2 linked regions of the Diceros bicornis minor genome follow. The protein of the gene in region 2 purifies or fractionates together with the protein of the main gene of each other region. This does not show direct contact. Links are inferred from orthologs where the notes say so. Each region holds a gene or a part of one and is shown on either strand. Other genes may lie near its edges.

Region 1 (7,648 bases), on a different chromosome or scaffold from region 2:
GGCTGGGCCATGCTGTCATCTAAGAGGAACTGGGGCAGGCCACAGCCCCTGGGGACGGGGGAGGTGGCAGCTGAGGCGGGGCAGCTGGGCACACAGAGCTGCTCTGTTCTCTGACCCCACTGAAGCTTTTGAGCTCATGAATTTTTCAGCCAAACAGGCCTTAGTTTCAGATTCCATGGTGCTGGGTCCAGGCTTTGGGGTTCTATTTACTGTCTGAAAACATCCCAGGGTCCCAGAAGAAGGACCCTTTGGAGGTTCAACAGGGCCTGGCCTGGGGCGAGGGCCTGGCAGCGCCCTCAATCCCCCTGGGTCACCTGCTGAGCAAGGGGCTGGCAGGATGGTGGAGGACACCCCTCTTTTGGGCAGAGGCAATGTAAAACCTTGCACCTTGCAGGGGTGGAATTCTAACTCTGCCCCTGAGGCCTGGGTGGCTTGTACAAGTCACTTGCCCTCTGAGCCTCAGTTTTCCCATCTGTCAAATGGAGATATAGGCTTCCTTAACTCAAAGAGTTGTTTTGAGGAGGATTGCCACCTGGGAGACGGTTGGGGCAGCGCCTGGGTATAGCGAGCACACATAAGCGTGAACTATGTGTTAGTAACAGTCATACTGGTATCCGGCAATGAGCAGACCAGTTGGCAGTGGGCTGAGTCAAATTCTGACTCCACTGCCTCCCTGCTGTGTGTCCTCAGGCAAGTGGCTTCACCTCTCTGTGCCTCGGCTTTTGCCAACATAAGAAGACATGAAGGTCTTCCCCTTAGGACCTGAATTAGCAGGAAAACCATAACTGGGAAGACCAGAATCAAATACAGCAAAAAATAACAAACTTGGGGGAAAAAAAAAGACACAAAGAAGGTGGGAAGATAAGTGCTCGAGGAGAGGCCACTGCCGCTGTCGTCCTGTTCCTGTGGGTGTTAGATATGGTGCAGAGGCGAGTGGCGGTTCTGTCAGTTGCTGAGTGGCGGTTCTGTCAGTTGCTATCTTTTCACCTCCCTCCCTTGAGTCCCCTGTGGGGACGCCCAGCCCACTCCCAGGGGCTGGTAAAGGGCTGGGGCTGGGTTTGGGGAAGGAGGGGAGAGGGGATGAGGGATGAGGGATGAGGGATGAGGGATGAGGGATGAGGGATGAGGCCCACGAGGGCTGAGTGACTCCCCCTGGAGACTCCTCCCTCGCTCTGTGGAGCAGGATGCGTCCCAGCCAGGCTGAGATGGAATTTCCCTTCTCTTCCTTAATTTCCCTTCCCAAAAATTCCCTGCCTCTAAGATGGCAGACAGTTGTGGGGTGGAACCTGGTGTCCCCAGTAGCTGAGGGGCAGGGAGCTGAGACCCTGTGCCAGGCATGGATTTACGCCCAAACTCAGAGAGTGCAGCTCAAGGAGGTGACACCACGACTGTTACACCCATTTTAACAGAAGGGGAAACTGAGGCAATGCCCAATGCCTCACAGCCCACGGTGGAGTCAGAACTCAAACCTAGCACCTGTGTTCTTTTTCCCCCCAATTTTAATAATATATTTAATTTAACCCCAAATTTTTATCATTTCAACATGTAATCAATATTAAAATTATTCCTGAGATTTTTTTTGTACCAAGTCTTTGGAATACTGTGTGTATTTCTTTTTTGTTAGTTTCCTCTATTTTTATTTATTTATTTATCTATTTATTTTTTTTTAATTTTATTTATTTATGTTTCCCCCAAAGCCCCAGTAGATAGTTGTATGTCATAGCTGCACATCCTTCTAGTTGCTGTATGTGGGACGCGGCTTCAGCATGGCCGGAGAAGCGGTGCGTCGGTGCACGCCCGGGATCCGAACCCGGGCCGCCAGCAGCGGAGCGCGCACACTTAACCTCTAAGCCACGGGGCCGGCCTCTATTTTTATTTAAAATTAAAAAGAAACAAATCGAAGTTTCTCATGTCACATGCATTTCCAATGTAAACAATTTGTATTTTAAACAAGGAGTTTACGGAAGGAAACGTTTGCAGTGTCCTGGTCTATTTCCATTAGGAGGTTTTATTTTCTAAATTAAACTCCTTTGTCCCCGTTGGTAAGGGAAACATAGTTACAAGGCAGAAACCCAGAATTTTTTCTCGCAGCCACAAGCCAAAATGAGAAAAATGCATTTTATCTTCAAGAACAAAGATTTAATATGGTTTTGTTTTTCGGTTTGGGTTTTTTTTTTTTCCCCCATTTGATTTGGTTCCCTGCCTTAACTTTTCCTAGCTTTAGGAATTTTGTTGCTAATTCAGCAGCACCTGTGTTCTTTTTTCTTTTTCTGAGGAAGATTGGCCCTGAGCTAACATCTGTTGCCAATCTTCCTCTTTTTTTTTTTTTCCTTTTTTCTCCCCAAAGACCCAGTACATAGCTGTGTATCATAGTTGTAGATTTGTAGCTCTTCTATATGGGACGCCGCCTCAGCGTGGCTTGATGAGCCATGAATAGGTCCGTGCCCAGGATCCTAACCGGGGAACCCCAGGCCACTGAAGGGGAACGTGTGAACTTAACTGCTGTGCCACCGGGCTGGCCCCTGCACCTGTGTTCTTAACCACCACACAGTAAATAATAACAATAACAAATAATAATAACAGGAGGGTCGGCCGCACCCCACGCACTGCTCTGAGCACCACGTTGTGTGTAGTAACTCATGCCATCTGCGCTGTAATTAATTAGGAAAGTACGGAAATTAACCGTGTTTAACAGATGTGCAAACCGACGTCCAGGGAGGGGAGGCCAGGTCCCCAAGGCGGCGCAGCTCGTGGGTTGCAAACCCAGGACTTGAGCCCAGACAGCTGGCTCTAGAGCCTGCACGCTCAACTGCACACATCTAAACAACAGCAGCAAAAACAGTATCAGTACCAGCTTTGTGCCAGGCTCTGCAGAGACTCCTTCTCTTGGATTGTCCCGCTCATAAGGTCGTGGTGGAAATTTTTCAAATGTCGGCCTCGTCTCTGAGTTCCATGCATCACAGCCCCCCATTCATTCTCCAGCACACACCCCCAGCCCACTGTCGCCGGTTCAGCTGCCTGCAGTGTTCCCATCCTCATCTGGGATCATCTTGTTTTGGGGTTCTTATGCTGTGTGTCTCCCGCCCTCCCTAGAACGAGAACAGTGGAGTGGCTTTGCCTATGTCGCCATCCACAGCGCCACAGAGGATGCTCAACAAATATTCACTCACTGAATGGTCCATCACCAACAGTATCAATTGTCATCAGCACCACAATGAAAGCAGCTTTCACATGTCCCCTTCAGCACACAGTAGGTGCTCCATAAATGTTGGTTGAGTGAATAATATTATGATGATTATAGTCATAATCATAATGACCATTTATCTTTTCAACAGTTGCTCAACATCTCAGTGTCACGTTATAGAAGCTTATAAATGTTTTTGGAGGGAATGAATAAGAGTAACATTGGGAATAATGATACAAGCAGTTACACTGGGGCCAGCCCTGGTGGCATGCTCCACTTTGGCGGCCCGGGTTCAGTTCCTGGGCATGGACCTACACCGTTCTATTAGCAGCCGTGCTGTGCTGGTGGCCCACATACTAAAAAATAGAGGAAGATTGGCACAGATGTTAGCTCAGAGTGAATCTTCCTCAGCAAAAAAAAAAAAAAGCAGGTACATTGGTTCTTCTCAGAATGCTACCCACAATTCCTGAGTGAAAGAATTTACTAGAGAGTATTTGAGTGAAAGAATAAATTAATCAGTAAGTATTTATTGTATGAATGAATGAATGACTTGGACAAATATTATTGAGTGCCCAGTGGTGGGCACTGGGGACATAGACATGATCAGGACAAACCCTGTCCTATTGGGGCGGACGTGCATGTGGGAGAGACAGAGGAGAAACAAGATGAATGGATGGATGGATGGATGATGGATGGATGGAGAGATAGATGATGGATGGATAGATGAGGGATGACGGATGGATGGATGGATGGATGGATGGATGGATGGATGGATGGATGGGTGATGGATGATGGATGGGTGGATGGATGGATGGATAGATGATGGATGGGTGGATGGATGGATGGATAGATGATGGATAGATGATGGATGGATGGATGGATGGATAGATGATGGATGGGTGGATGGATGGATGGATGGATAGATGATGGATGGGTGGATAGATGGATGGATAGATGATGGATGGATGATGGATGGATGGATGGATGGATAGATGATGGATGGGTGGATGGATGGATGGATAGATGATGGATGTATGATGGATGGAGGGAGGGAGGGATGATGGATGGATGGGGGAGAGATGACGGATGGGTGGATGGATGGATGGATAGAGGATGGATGGATGATGGATGGATGGAGAGAGAGACGATGGATGGATGGATAGATAATGGATGGATGGATGGATGGATGGATTGGTGATTGGTCTGGAGTCTCCGTCCACCAGCACTCCTGGGCGCAAAAGGAAAGTGAGGCGGAGCAGCTGTCGCATCCGAAGCTCCGCCCCTCGCAGCCCCCGCAGCGTCTTCTCGTCGGCCGACAGCGCCGCTCACCTGGCGGCCTCCCCTTTAAGACGCGCGCACCTGGGCGCACACCTGCGCGCGGGCGCTTCCGCAGGAAGAAGGAAGCAGCGCCGCCGTCTCCAACCGGCGCTCCCTCTCCGCCTCCCAGGTCCGCCGGCCGCCACCATGTCCGCCTCGGCTGTCTTCATCCTCGACGTCAAGGGCAAGGTGAGGCTGGGCGCGAGGGGAGGGGGGACGGACAGGTGAGGCTGCGCCCCCGCGGACTCAGGAGCGGCCCCTCCTCGCAGGCGGGGAGGCCCCAGAAAGCCCTGGGCACGTGGGGACATCCCCTCCCCCAATCCCTGGGAGTCCCGGGTCCAATCCCACCTCCACTGTTTACCTCTCTGAGCCTCAGTCTCCCTCTCCGTAAACAGGGGAATACAAGGGTCCCCACTCAAAAAGAATTAATACCACCCGATTCGTGTCAGTCACTTTCCACCGTAGCCCTGCTGCAAACATTTGGCGTTTATTCAACTGAAATTATGTTTACCATCGTCACCATCCAAAGTCTTAATATTGCGGGAAGATAGAGGGGCAGGGGACCCTAATTCCCCTTTGGGGCTGCCCCGTCCGTTTCTGGAACCCTCTCTCATTCATCTGGTCATTCAATAGCAATAATAACAGGGGTGGTGAAAATAATATTCCTGATAATAATAATGGTGACAGCTAAGGTGTCTGCGGACCTGCTGCATGTCTTCTAGGTTCTAAACACTGGACTAAACAATATCATCAGGTGGGTACTATTATTATTGACTGCTTACAGCCTGCCAGGCGAAACTATAGGAGCTAAAAGAGATATATGGGTATAATCTTTCGTTTCTCTTTCTATAATCTTTCCTCCCTCCCTTCCTTCCTTCGTTTATTCAATTTCCAGTTTCCCCAATTATCATGGACACGGTTCGTGCCTCAGTTTCCCCATCTGTAAAATGGAGATGTTAATACTATCTGCCTCACAGGGTGGTGGTGAGAACTAAGACAGTCAGCAAACATCCAGACTTCAGTAGAACACGGCCTAGACCTCAGGGAGGGCTCTGGACACGTTAGCTGTTGTTATCACGTACCCATTTTACAGAGGAGGAAACTGAGGCCCAAAGAGCCGGAGCCTGGCGGAGGGCCCTCAGGTGGAGGGTCCCCGGATCCCGGTGGTGACCGGGCCTTCTCCGCCCACCCGTAGCCCCTGATCAGCCGCAACTACAAGGGCGATGTGGCCATGAGTGAGATCGAGCACTTCATGCCCCTGCTCATGCAGCGGGAGGAGGAGGGCGCCCTGGCCCCGCTGTTGAGCCACGGCCGCGTCCACTTCCTGTGGATCAAACACAGCAACCTCTACTGTATCCGGCCGCGCGCAGGGGCCCTGGGGGCCTGGGTGGTGGCAGCTCAGGCCCAGAGAGGGTGGGCTGAGGATAGGAGTTGCACAGCACATCAGTGGCTCAGGCTGGGGATTGGAGGGGGGCAGGGTGGGGATTCGGGGTCTGTGCTCCCTCCGAGCCCTCCAAAATGGCACCTGTTCCTTAACGTCGCTGCCCGCAGTGGTGGCCACCACGCTGAAGAACGCCAACGCCTCCCTCGTGTACTCCTTCCTGTACAAGACGGTGGAGGTAGGTCCCGGCCTCCCATTGGCCGGCTGATCTGTCTGTCCACTCGTCTTGCCCGCCTCTTTCAGGATCCGTTTCTCCCGGGAAGCTTCCCCGGGCCGCCCTGGGGGGCCCCCATCAAAACCCCATCACTGTGTTCTCATCAGCTGCCACCGGATCATCTCTCCCTACAGGGCAGGGACCAAGGAGGTCTCCAAGGGGCTATACTGCTCAAATCTGAGCCCGAGGGAACCGGGTTCCGATCCCAGCTCCCCTGCTGCCTGGCTGTGTGACCTTGAGCAAGCCACTTCCCCTCTCTGTGCCTCAAAACTGGGAGTTACAACAAGTCCTGCCTCGGGGTTGTTATACCAATTAATCAAATTCATATCCATAAAGTGCCTAAAACATGCTCAGTATACACTAAGTGCTCCATAAAGGCTTCCTATTGTCAGCATTATCACCAATGTTATACTGTCTCATGACAATTTATCGAGCACTTGTATGCCATTATCGATGACGGAGAAAGTGCTCAGTAATGACTTTTCTTTTTTTTTTTTGGTGAGGAAGATCCACCTTGAGCTAACATCCATGCCAATCCTCCTCTTTTTGCTGAGGAAGACTGGTCCTGAGCTAACATCTGTGCCCATCTGCCTCCACTTTATGTGGGACGCCGCCACAGCATGGCCTGCCAAGCAGTGCGTCAGTGCGCACCTGGGATCTGAACCTGCAAACGCTCGGGCCACCAAAGCGGAGCGCACGCACTTAACCATTGTGCCACTGGGCAGGCCCTTCAGTAATGACTTTTCAACGAACAAGAAATATTTATTGATTTGTCTCCTCTCTGCCAGGCAAAGGGGGGACACAGCAATGCATAGGGGACTGTCCCTGGCTGTCCTGAGGAGTGAAAGGGCATGATGGAGATTAAACAGGACATTTTCCAGTGGCTGGGATGCTGGTCTCATGGTGATACTTATGGGGGTTGGGGGGATGGTGGTGGCCTCATTGAGGGGTGACATTTGAGCTGAGGCCTGAATTCCAAGGATCCTGTGAGCAGAGTGTCCCAGGCAGAGGGGACAGCATATGCAAAGGCCCTGGGGTAGGAATAGAAAGCAGGCCAGTGAGGCTGGAGCAGAATGAGGGATGGAGAGTGTTTCAGATGTTGGATGACCGACAGGTTCTCTGCTGTGGTTATGCCTGCTAATTCCCAGGGGCTCTTAACTCGAGGTCCCCAAACTCCCAAGGGCCTGAGGATAGAATTCAGGGAGTCCATGATCTTAGATGCATTTCTAGATAACAGATTTCCTTTGCCATCCCCTGTATTTTATTTCATGCCTTCACAAACCTTATTCCGAGGCGGGTCCAGAAACATCACAGATGCACAGGAACCCACGGTCCACAAAACACAGTTCTGTGCCCTTCCAGTCCCTCCTCCAGGGCAGGGACGCTGTTGGTTTTGTTCACCATTAATGTCCGGCACAGGCATACAGTAGGCGCTCAATAGTTGCCTCTTGGCTGGCTGGCTGAATGAGTGGGGACCCAGCCCATGGCCATA
Region 2 (7,195 bases):
TTTCTACAGAAAAAGGCAAATGGAAAAATCCTAACACTTTTTGACAAAGATATGATTTTCAAAACCTATAAGCCAAGAAATATAAACGCTTAGATAAATCTATGTTCTCTTTTAAATTGCTTCCTACTTTAAATATTATCCTGCATAAAAGAAACTGAATAAAAGTAACAAAGGAATGAAAGAAAGGCAAAATCAAAAACTGAAAACAATTCATAAAGCAAAGACTGAATTACAAGCACCAAAAACAGCTAAGCAAGTTGTTGCAGTTTGAAGAAAGATAGTTTTAGATTTTCTGAAGTTAAACCTAAATAAGAGTTCTAAGGTTTCGATACCAATTAAGTCCCGCTGTATACACAAAATTTAAAAATCCTCATCAAATGTAAATAAAGGGATTAAGCATTCAAAAATCTGTTTTGGTATGTAGTTTCCCAATTTAATTTTTTTAATTAAAAATAATCTTTTGGAAAATACTTGTTCAACTTTTTCAGTTTGTATAGAGTTTTTGTAAGTCACAAAAAACTTGGGTTTCTGTTTTTGTACACCATTGATATCAAGACTACTTTTTAAAAATAAGTAGTAGGATGAAATATCACCAAGGCATTGCTGACAATTTTTGTACTTCATAGTTTCACTCTAAAATTCACCCACAAATGCAGACCTGCTATCAGTGAAAAAGATCAGATAAAAGAACAAGCAACTGTTCCCAAAAGAAATTGAATTGAGGTTTCCTAAACAATAATGTTAATTTCAAGTGTAACCACCCCCCCCACTCCCCACCCCCCCCAACAACCTTAGACAAAATAGACATTCAAGTTTGTGCTGATCAATGGTGCAGTAAACAGCACTTTGCTTATAATTTGTAAGGCAAAAGGATATTTTCTCCAATTGAATGCAAAACACCTAAGAATGAATGACATTTAAAAACCAGTACACTATACCATGAAATGAACTGAGTTAAATATTTACACCTGATAGCTCTTGCAATACCTTGTTTTAAAAGTGTAACTCAGAAATGAAACACTTCAGTAGCAACTACAACCAGCTACTTAGTAAATTAGTGACCATTCCACAAATGTTGAGTGTTTGACAGTTCCTTTAAACCAAAAGCTTCAGAGTACACAAATATTTGTGAAAAGTCTCCTTAAAACAAATAACAAGAACAGTGACTATTTACAATGAAAACATTCAGTCTTCTACATCATATATCCTGTACTGGTCATATGATGTCCAGTACAGGAATTACCTACCTGATAACCTGATGATAAGAATGCATTTATACATGGATTAGAAGTATTAAAAGACGTGATCCAGTTCAAGTTACAAATTCAAATTTCAGCAGTCACTAGGCTGTAATCTCAAATAAGTTATTTCTCTTTTGCAGATGTAAAAACCCAAGATGAGATAAAATAGAGGTGATTCAATCACACTCACCTAACTTGAAATGGAGGAAATAATTGGTGTATTACTGTGAAACGCTTTTTATTCAAGCATGCTATATTACAAACTTTAAGAGTGGAATAAAAGTGATGAGATCATGGGTACCTGGAGAGTCTATATTTTTAAAACAAAAGTTAAGGTGTATATAGTCTAACAAATACTATGGGAAACAGTAGAATATTTAAAATCCAACTATCCCCAGAAAAAATCCAACACATGAAGTCAATCCAAGTATTTTTTAGAGTCAGTCAGCAAAAATCAGGTGTACACAACACCTGAAAGTTAAGATCACTAAGAAATCTTCATTCACTCCTCTCTTCTGTTAACCAATCCCTACAGGAGACAAAAAAGTTACTTTCCTTTCTCCCTACATCAAAATAAGATTCTTCTTCACAGGCAGATTTCCATGCCCAGGGATAAAATAACACGAAGAAAAATACTTAAGTGTCAATAAGTACCGAAAAACTAAGTGTTCAGCACAGGAAGGGAATCCACAAATGAGAAAATATGTGACAGCCTCCCACCCCTCCAAAAGCCATTTAATCAGCTTTATACACATTTACTGCTGAAGTACACTCTGAGCGAGCGGTTCAACGGATCTCCTACAGCAAACCCTAACAGAGAAACGTAACCAACCGTCCTGACTCTTTCAGGGAGTCAGGAAGATCGGGAGAATTATTAGAAACTGACGTCCGCAGGATCAGGAGTTTGAGAGAAAGGTAAGCAGCGTACTCGCAGGTGAGTTGGGAAAAAAAAAATCCGGAAAATTGGGAAAGAAGTTGGTCGGAAGGTTAGAGGGAGGCGAGGCCGATGTCCTGTTCTGAGAGGACGGCATTGCAGGTGCAAACAGCAATTAACTGAGCATCTGGAAATGCTGAAGGGAGTTCCACGAAAGACCTGACCAGGGTACAAGATACAAGAACGCTGATATGTGGCTCAGAGAAGACACGCGGGGGTGGGACCCTCCCCGCTAACCCCAGTCTCCCTGAACGAGCCCTCAAATGAGGATCGCAGCCGGAGAAAGTCAATGGGTCCAAGGAGGCCCGCACCAGCCGGGGAACGCCACAGCATGGAACGCGGCCGCGAGCGGAGCCTGCCGGTCCGAGGCCTCGGGGTCGGCTCTCAAGAAGTCAGAGCAGCCCCTGAGGCTCCAGGCTCCAGGCCCAACCTCTGTCCTCTCTTCTCACCCCCCACAGCCTGGGACCGGCCCCTGGGATTGATAGGAAGCTTCTGGCCGAAGGCTCCCGGCAGGCGCGGGGCAAAAGAGGCAATATGCTCTTAGCGCCGCGAGTGACACTCACCGGCCCGAAACCTCGAATGAAACCAGCAGCTCTGGGGGCGGCGGCAGCAGTGGCAGCAGGAACCTAACATCCAAAATGGCGGCTCCCTCGGCCTCACCACCGCTAGAGCAGGCGGAGGGATCCTTAGGAGGAAGGGAGTTTTAAACTAACTTCACACACTATCACAGAAACTTCGGTCCCTATCGTCCTCTTCTTGTCGATTCCGCGTCCCCTGACTGTAACTTCCCGTGCCTCCCCTCTCCTATTATCCAAGAACTCGGACCCCGCCGAGGACTATTTGCCAAGGAGGAGGTGACTGCTCCTGGCAGAGCGACGCAGAGCGTAGCAAGAGTCGGGGCTGTCACTGATGACGCGAGACGCTGCTGCCGAGTCACCGCTGCGAAGAGTCTGTGCGAGAAAGATCCGGCCGACGCCGGGGCTGACAGACATTGGTTCCGCTTGGGACGGCGGGGGCAGTGCTGGACTGTCAGGAAGCGGCGGGGGCCACCTGAAGCGGGCGGAGCTCGCAAGGTAGTCAAGGAAGCGGGAAAGGCGAGGTAGGTGGGGGCGGAGAACACAGCCAGGCTGAGCCGGTCCTAATCCACGAGAATCCCAAACTCTAGCACCTTTGAGATCCTTAGTTTTCTCTTTAGGTAACGTCGGGAACATGCTCCATGTGATCTTGGATTCTGTGGGTTTTTGGTATCTTTGCAACATATTTATAAAAAGAGAGGATGACACAGAGTAGATTCCAAGCCCAGTCTCACTGCTCGACCTCATACACTGGACAAGTCATTTAAGCCCTCAGGGCCTCAGTTTCCTCATATGTAAAAAGATTTGGTCTACCCTTCCGGAGCGGGCTTTCTGACTGTGACTCCATGAACTAATGACCTGAGCCAAAGACAGTCTAACCAGACAGTTCCTGGCTTGATAAATAATTACTGACACGTGACACGAATATTTTCCATGTGAATGTGAAGAGGGCCAGGATATCTCGGCCCATTTAAAGGAAAAGTAACCTAACTAAACAAAAATCCTTCAGGTAGATTCGCAATAAATTACCTCGAACGTGAATAGAGCGCCGCACCCGGCTGGATGCCAAAGAGAACTGACCTAACCACAAATCTTGAGTTTAGGACCTGTCGTACTCAGGAGGTTGCACTTTTGTCCTTAGACAGCCACTTTCATGCAGGGATTTCAAGAAGTGAACTCAGTAGGCCCGCCTGTACAATTTTATTCTTGAACTACTGGGGTATGTCAAGTGGCTGGAAAGAAAGGCGAGCAAGGGGGTGATAATGGTAATTATCATTTTTTATTATTAAATATTGATATCACATTGTTTATAAAAGCATCTTCGTGTGTATAATCTAATTTGACCCTCCGACAACTTCCTGAGTCAGACCATTCAAGCATAGGTAATTTAGTTTTACAAATAAGGAGACCGGGGCTCAGAGAGACTGTGACTTGCTGAAAGACACTCCCTCTCTCCTCCTCGACTGGGCTTCGGCTATGCGTGAAACCTTTGGAATTAGGAAACGGTACACACCCACTCGCCCCCACCCGCACACTCAGGGTGGAATCAACCGAGAGCAAATGGTTTGGGAAGCAGGATGCTTGTAGAATTCAGTCGCCTCATACCTTCAGGGCTGCACTACTGTGCAGTGCAGCCCTGGATCACATGCCTGGTAAATAGTAGCATAAAACTAGAACACCATAATGATGCCGTAACGCAGATTCCTCTGAGGTATAGCTATGCATGAACACATGCTAAAGTACAGTTTGGGGCTCCCATAAAAGTAAGGAGTTTGCAGGTTGCAAAGCAGTTAGCTAAAGTATTCCGTTTGCAAGTCACAAAAATTTGCTTAAAGGTCAAATTTAAATGTTTACCATTGTGAACCACAAAAGTTAAACCATCTTCTTAAGAAAGAGGAAGGAGCTTTTTTCCAACCATGCCAAATGGCAGAGCATTAAAGAGAAAATGACAGACATTATAAAATGTAAACCCCCTCCATATCTTTTATTTTTACTTATATTTATCTTTATAATTACCAAACCCCTCCTCTAATGCCATTGAAAATTAAAAGCAATTAACCCAATATATAGCATGGTTATCATTGTCCTGGGATCTTTGGCTTCTGTGGCTAGAGATTATAGTTTGGGAAGACTTACTCCCCATCTACTCAAAGGTAATCCCTAATTTCAGATAAATAAATTATAGCACATCAATAAAATGGAATATTATGCTGCCAATAAAAATGAAACTATAGCTCTATCTTTATTATGATATGCCAGATTTTGAAAAATATATTACAAAATGGTATTATAAAATGAGCTTATAAAAAATAGAAAAAAAGTTGAAGGATAAAACTAAAATGGTTATCTTTGGATAGGATTATAGAGATCCAAGGGATAATCTTGGGATTATAGAGGATTTTTACTTTCCTAACTATGTTTTGTTTTCGCAATGATCATATCGTACTTTTATTTGGGAAAAAAAAGACTTTTACATTTTGAAAAAAAAAGTTCTTATCAGATAATGCAGTTTTATGCATCCAAATGCTGAAGGAGATTTTTCTGTTTAAAACAGCAACAGCCTCAAAGGATTAAACAAACTTCTAGGAAGAGATAATGGCTGGGAGAAAAGATCATTATTTTCATGGTTTAGTTTATTATTGATAACTTGTATGCTTCAACTTAACAAATAATAACAACAAAAAACAAAACTGAAGAGGCATCAGCCAGGAGTCAGACCACTCAGATGCCAGTTCGGGCTGAGTTCAACTCACTTTGTGCCCTGAGCAAGGTGTTTAACATCTCTGGGCGTGTTTCCTCAGCTGTCCAATATTTATTTATGATTAGCCTTGTTCCAAAATGGATTCAAAGTCACTTGTTACCCAGAGGAATGAAATGTGTGAAAGCACTTGGAAAAGTATCAAGCATCATGAAAATATAAGTATAAAAACATTTTGTGCCACCTCACAATTCAACCAAAGCTTTCATTGATTGCCCACTACAAATAACAGTAGTGCATTGTGTCTTATAATTTACAAAAGTGTTTTCATATACTTTGATTCATTCGTTCCTCACCCACCATGAGCTTATAAACCAGGTAGGCATTATAGCACAGTAGTTAAAAGCCTGGGTTAAAACTCTGCCCTGCCTTTCTTTATTGTGTGAACTGCAGCAAGTTACTTAACATCTCTGAGCATTTCTGAATCTCAGTGTACCTGTCTGTAAAATGGAGTTAACAGTAGCATTGGCATCTTAAGACTGGTGTGATAATAAAACGAGCTGATACACTTAAAGTACTTAGAACAGAGGCTGGCACATGGTAAGGGCTCAGTAAATATGAACTCTCTTTGGGATAAATATCATCCCCACTTTAGAGATGAGGAAACAGAAGATCAGAGATATTAAATGATTTGTCACATCTTCATACAGCAGAGGCCAAACTCAAATCTAGATCTTCCATCATTGTATATATCTTTTAGCCCATATAGTAATCATTCAGTGAACGAGCTGCCTGAGTCCTTCCACTACACCACACTGCTCTGCGTGCACAGAATCTGTAATAGACGTTTCAAAAGAGATTGTTCCTACCCTCCAGGTAATTATAATCTCATTGAGGAAAACTAGATATTTTTTTAAAATCCTCAAACACATAAAAGTATCACTGATATTATTACTCAGCAGATAAGTCCCAGTACCCCCCAAAGAAAGCAGAAAAATGAGAGGTCACTGGGCGCCAGAGCAGTGACAGGGCTTTTGGAAGGCATGGCATGTCAGTTGGAATTGTGGTATTAGAAGGGGACCCTCTCTCTTGGTCTTAAATGCAGTGGTGTTCTTAAATGACTCAGTATCAGCAGCTGAAGCCCTGTGACCTTACAGCAGATGGGGAAGCTCTGTCTGCAGAAATGTGGTCAGCATCTCTCACAAGGTACTCTTCCTGCATCTCCACGTGCCCGAGTCCTCAGCCGAGAAAGGAGAGTGAAGAGGGGGTGCAACCCTGTGGGAAATAGAGTGACGTGAGCCAAAGAGGCAGCTCCACTGGCCTGTTTTGTTATCGTTTGAGTCACCAGAATCTATAAATAAGCCTGAAAGTCAGAGAGAAATTAGTCCCTCTGTTGTTTATGTGTTTTCGAAAAAAGCATTTTTACAATTCTTTTAAGCGTGGTCCCTCGTCACAATTCATCCTGGTCTGAGAAAAGCGTTTAGGAATTAATTCTTCAATTATGACAAGAGCCAGAAATGATGTAAAAATTAAAATTCCAACAGCCAACTCCATGTACTCTTTGACCTTCTACCAAGAGCATTAGGAAATCTACTATATTTTCCTTCAAAGTAAAGACCAAAGCCCGCGAGTATGAGGCTCAGCCAAGCTCCCTCTTTGCTTTAGTGATTTTTTTTAAAGAGGCAGCCCAAAGTGCCACCAGAGATGTTTTATGTCACAATATTTTATTTTTTATATAATAGTTGTA

The links.
Region 1: the proteins of AP1G1 (region 2) and AP1M2 purify together in Homo sapiens (affinity purification with mass spectrometry; 4 studies listed by BioGRID and IntAct, counting the BioPlex papers as one, with this or other methods). This does not show direct contact. The link is inferred for Diceros bicornis minor from reciprocal best matches to the Homo sapiens genes AP1G1 and AP1M2.

Annotation. Positions count from the first base shown.
Region 1 is NC_080769.1:8,687,699-8,695,346, forward strand, and holds the start of AP1M2 (AP-1 complex subunit mu-2), read left to right. Parts: upstream 1-4,594; 5' UTR 4,595-4,648; coding exon 4,649-4,690; intron 4,691-5,696; coding exon 5,697-5,853; intron 5,854-6,052; coding exon 6,053-6,120; intron 6,121-7,648. UniProt on the Homo sapiens protein: Subunit of clathrin-associated adaptor protein complex 1 that plays a role in protein sorting in the trans-Golgi network (TGN) and endosomes.
Region 2 is NC_080771.1:23,534,175-23,541,369, reverse strand, and holds the start of AP1G1 (AP-1 complex subunit gamma-1), read right to left. Parts: upstream 3,049-7,195; 5' UTR 2,739-3,048; intron 1-2,738. UniProt on the Homo sapiens protein: Subunit of clathrin-associated adaptor protein complex 1 that plays a role in protein sorting in the late-Golgi/trans-Golgi network (TGN) and/or endosomes.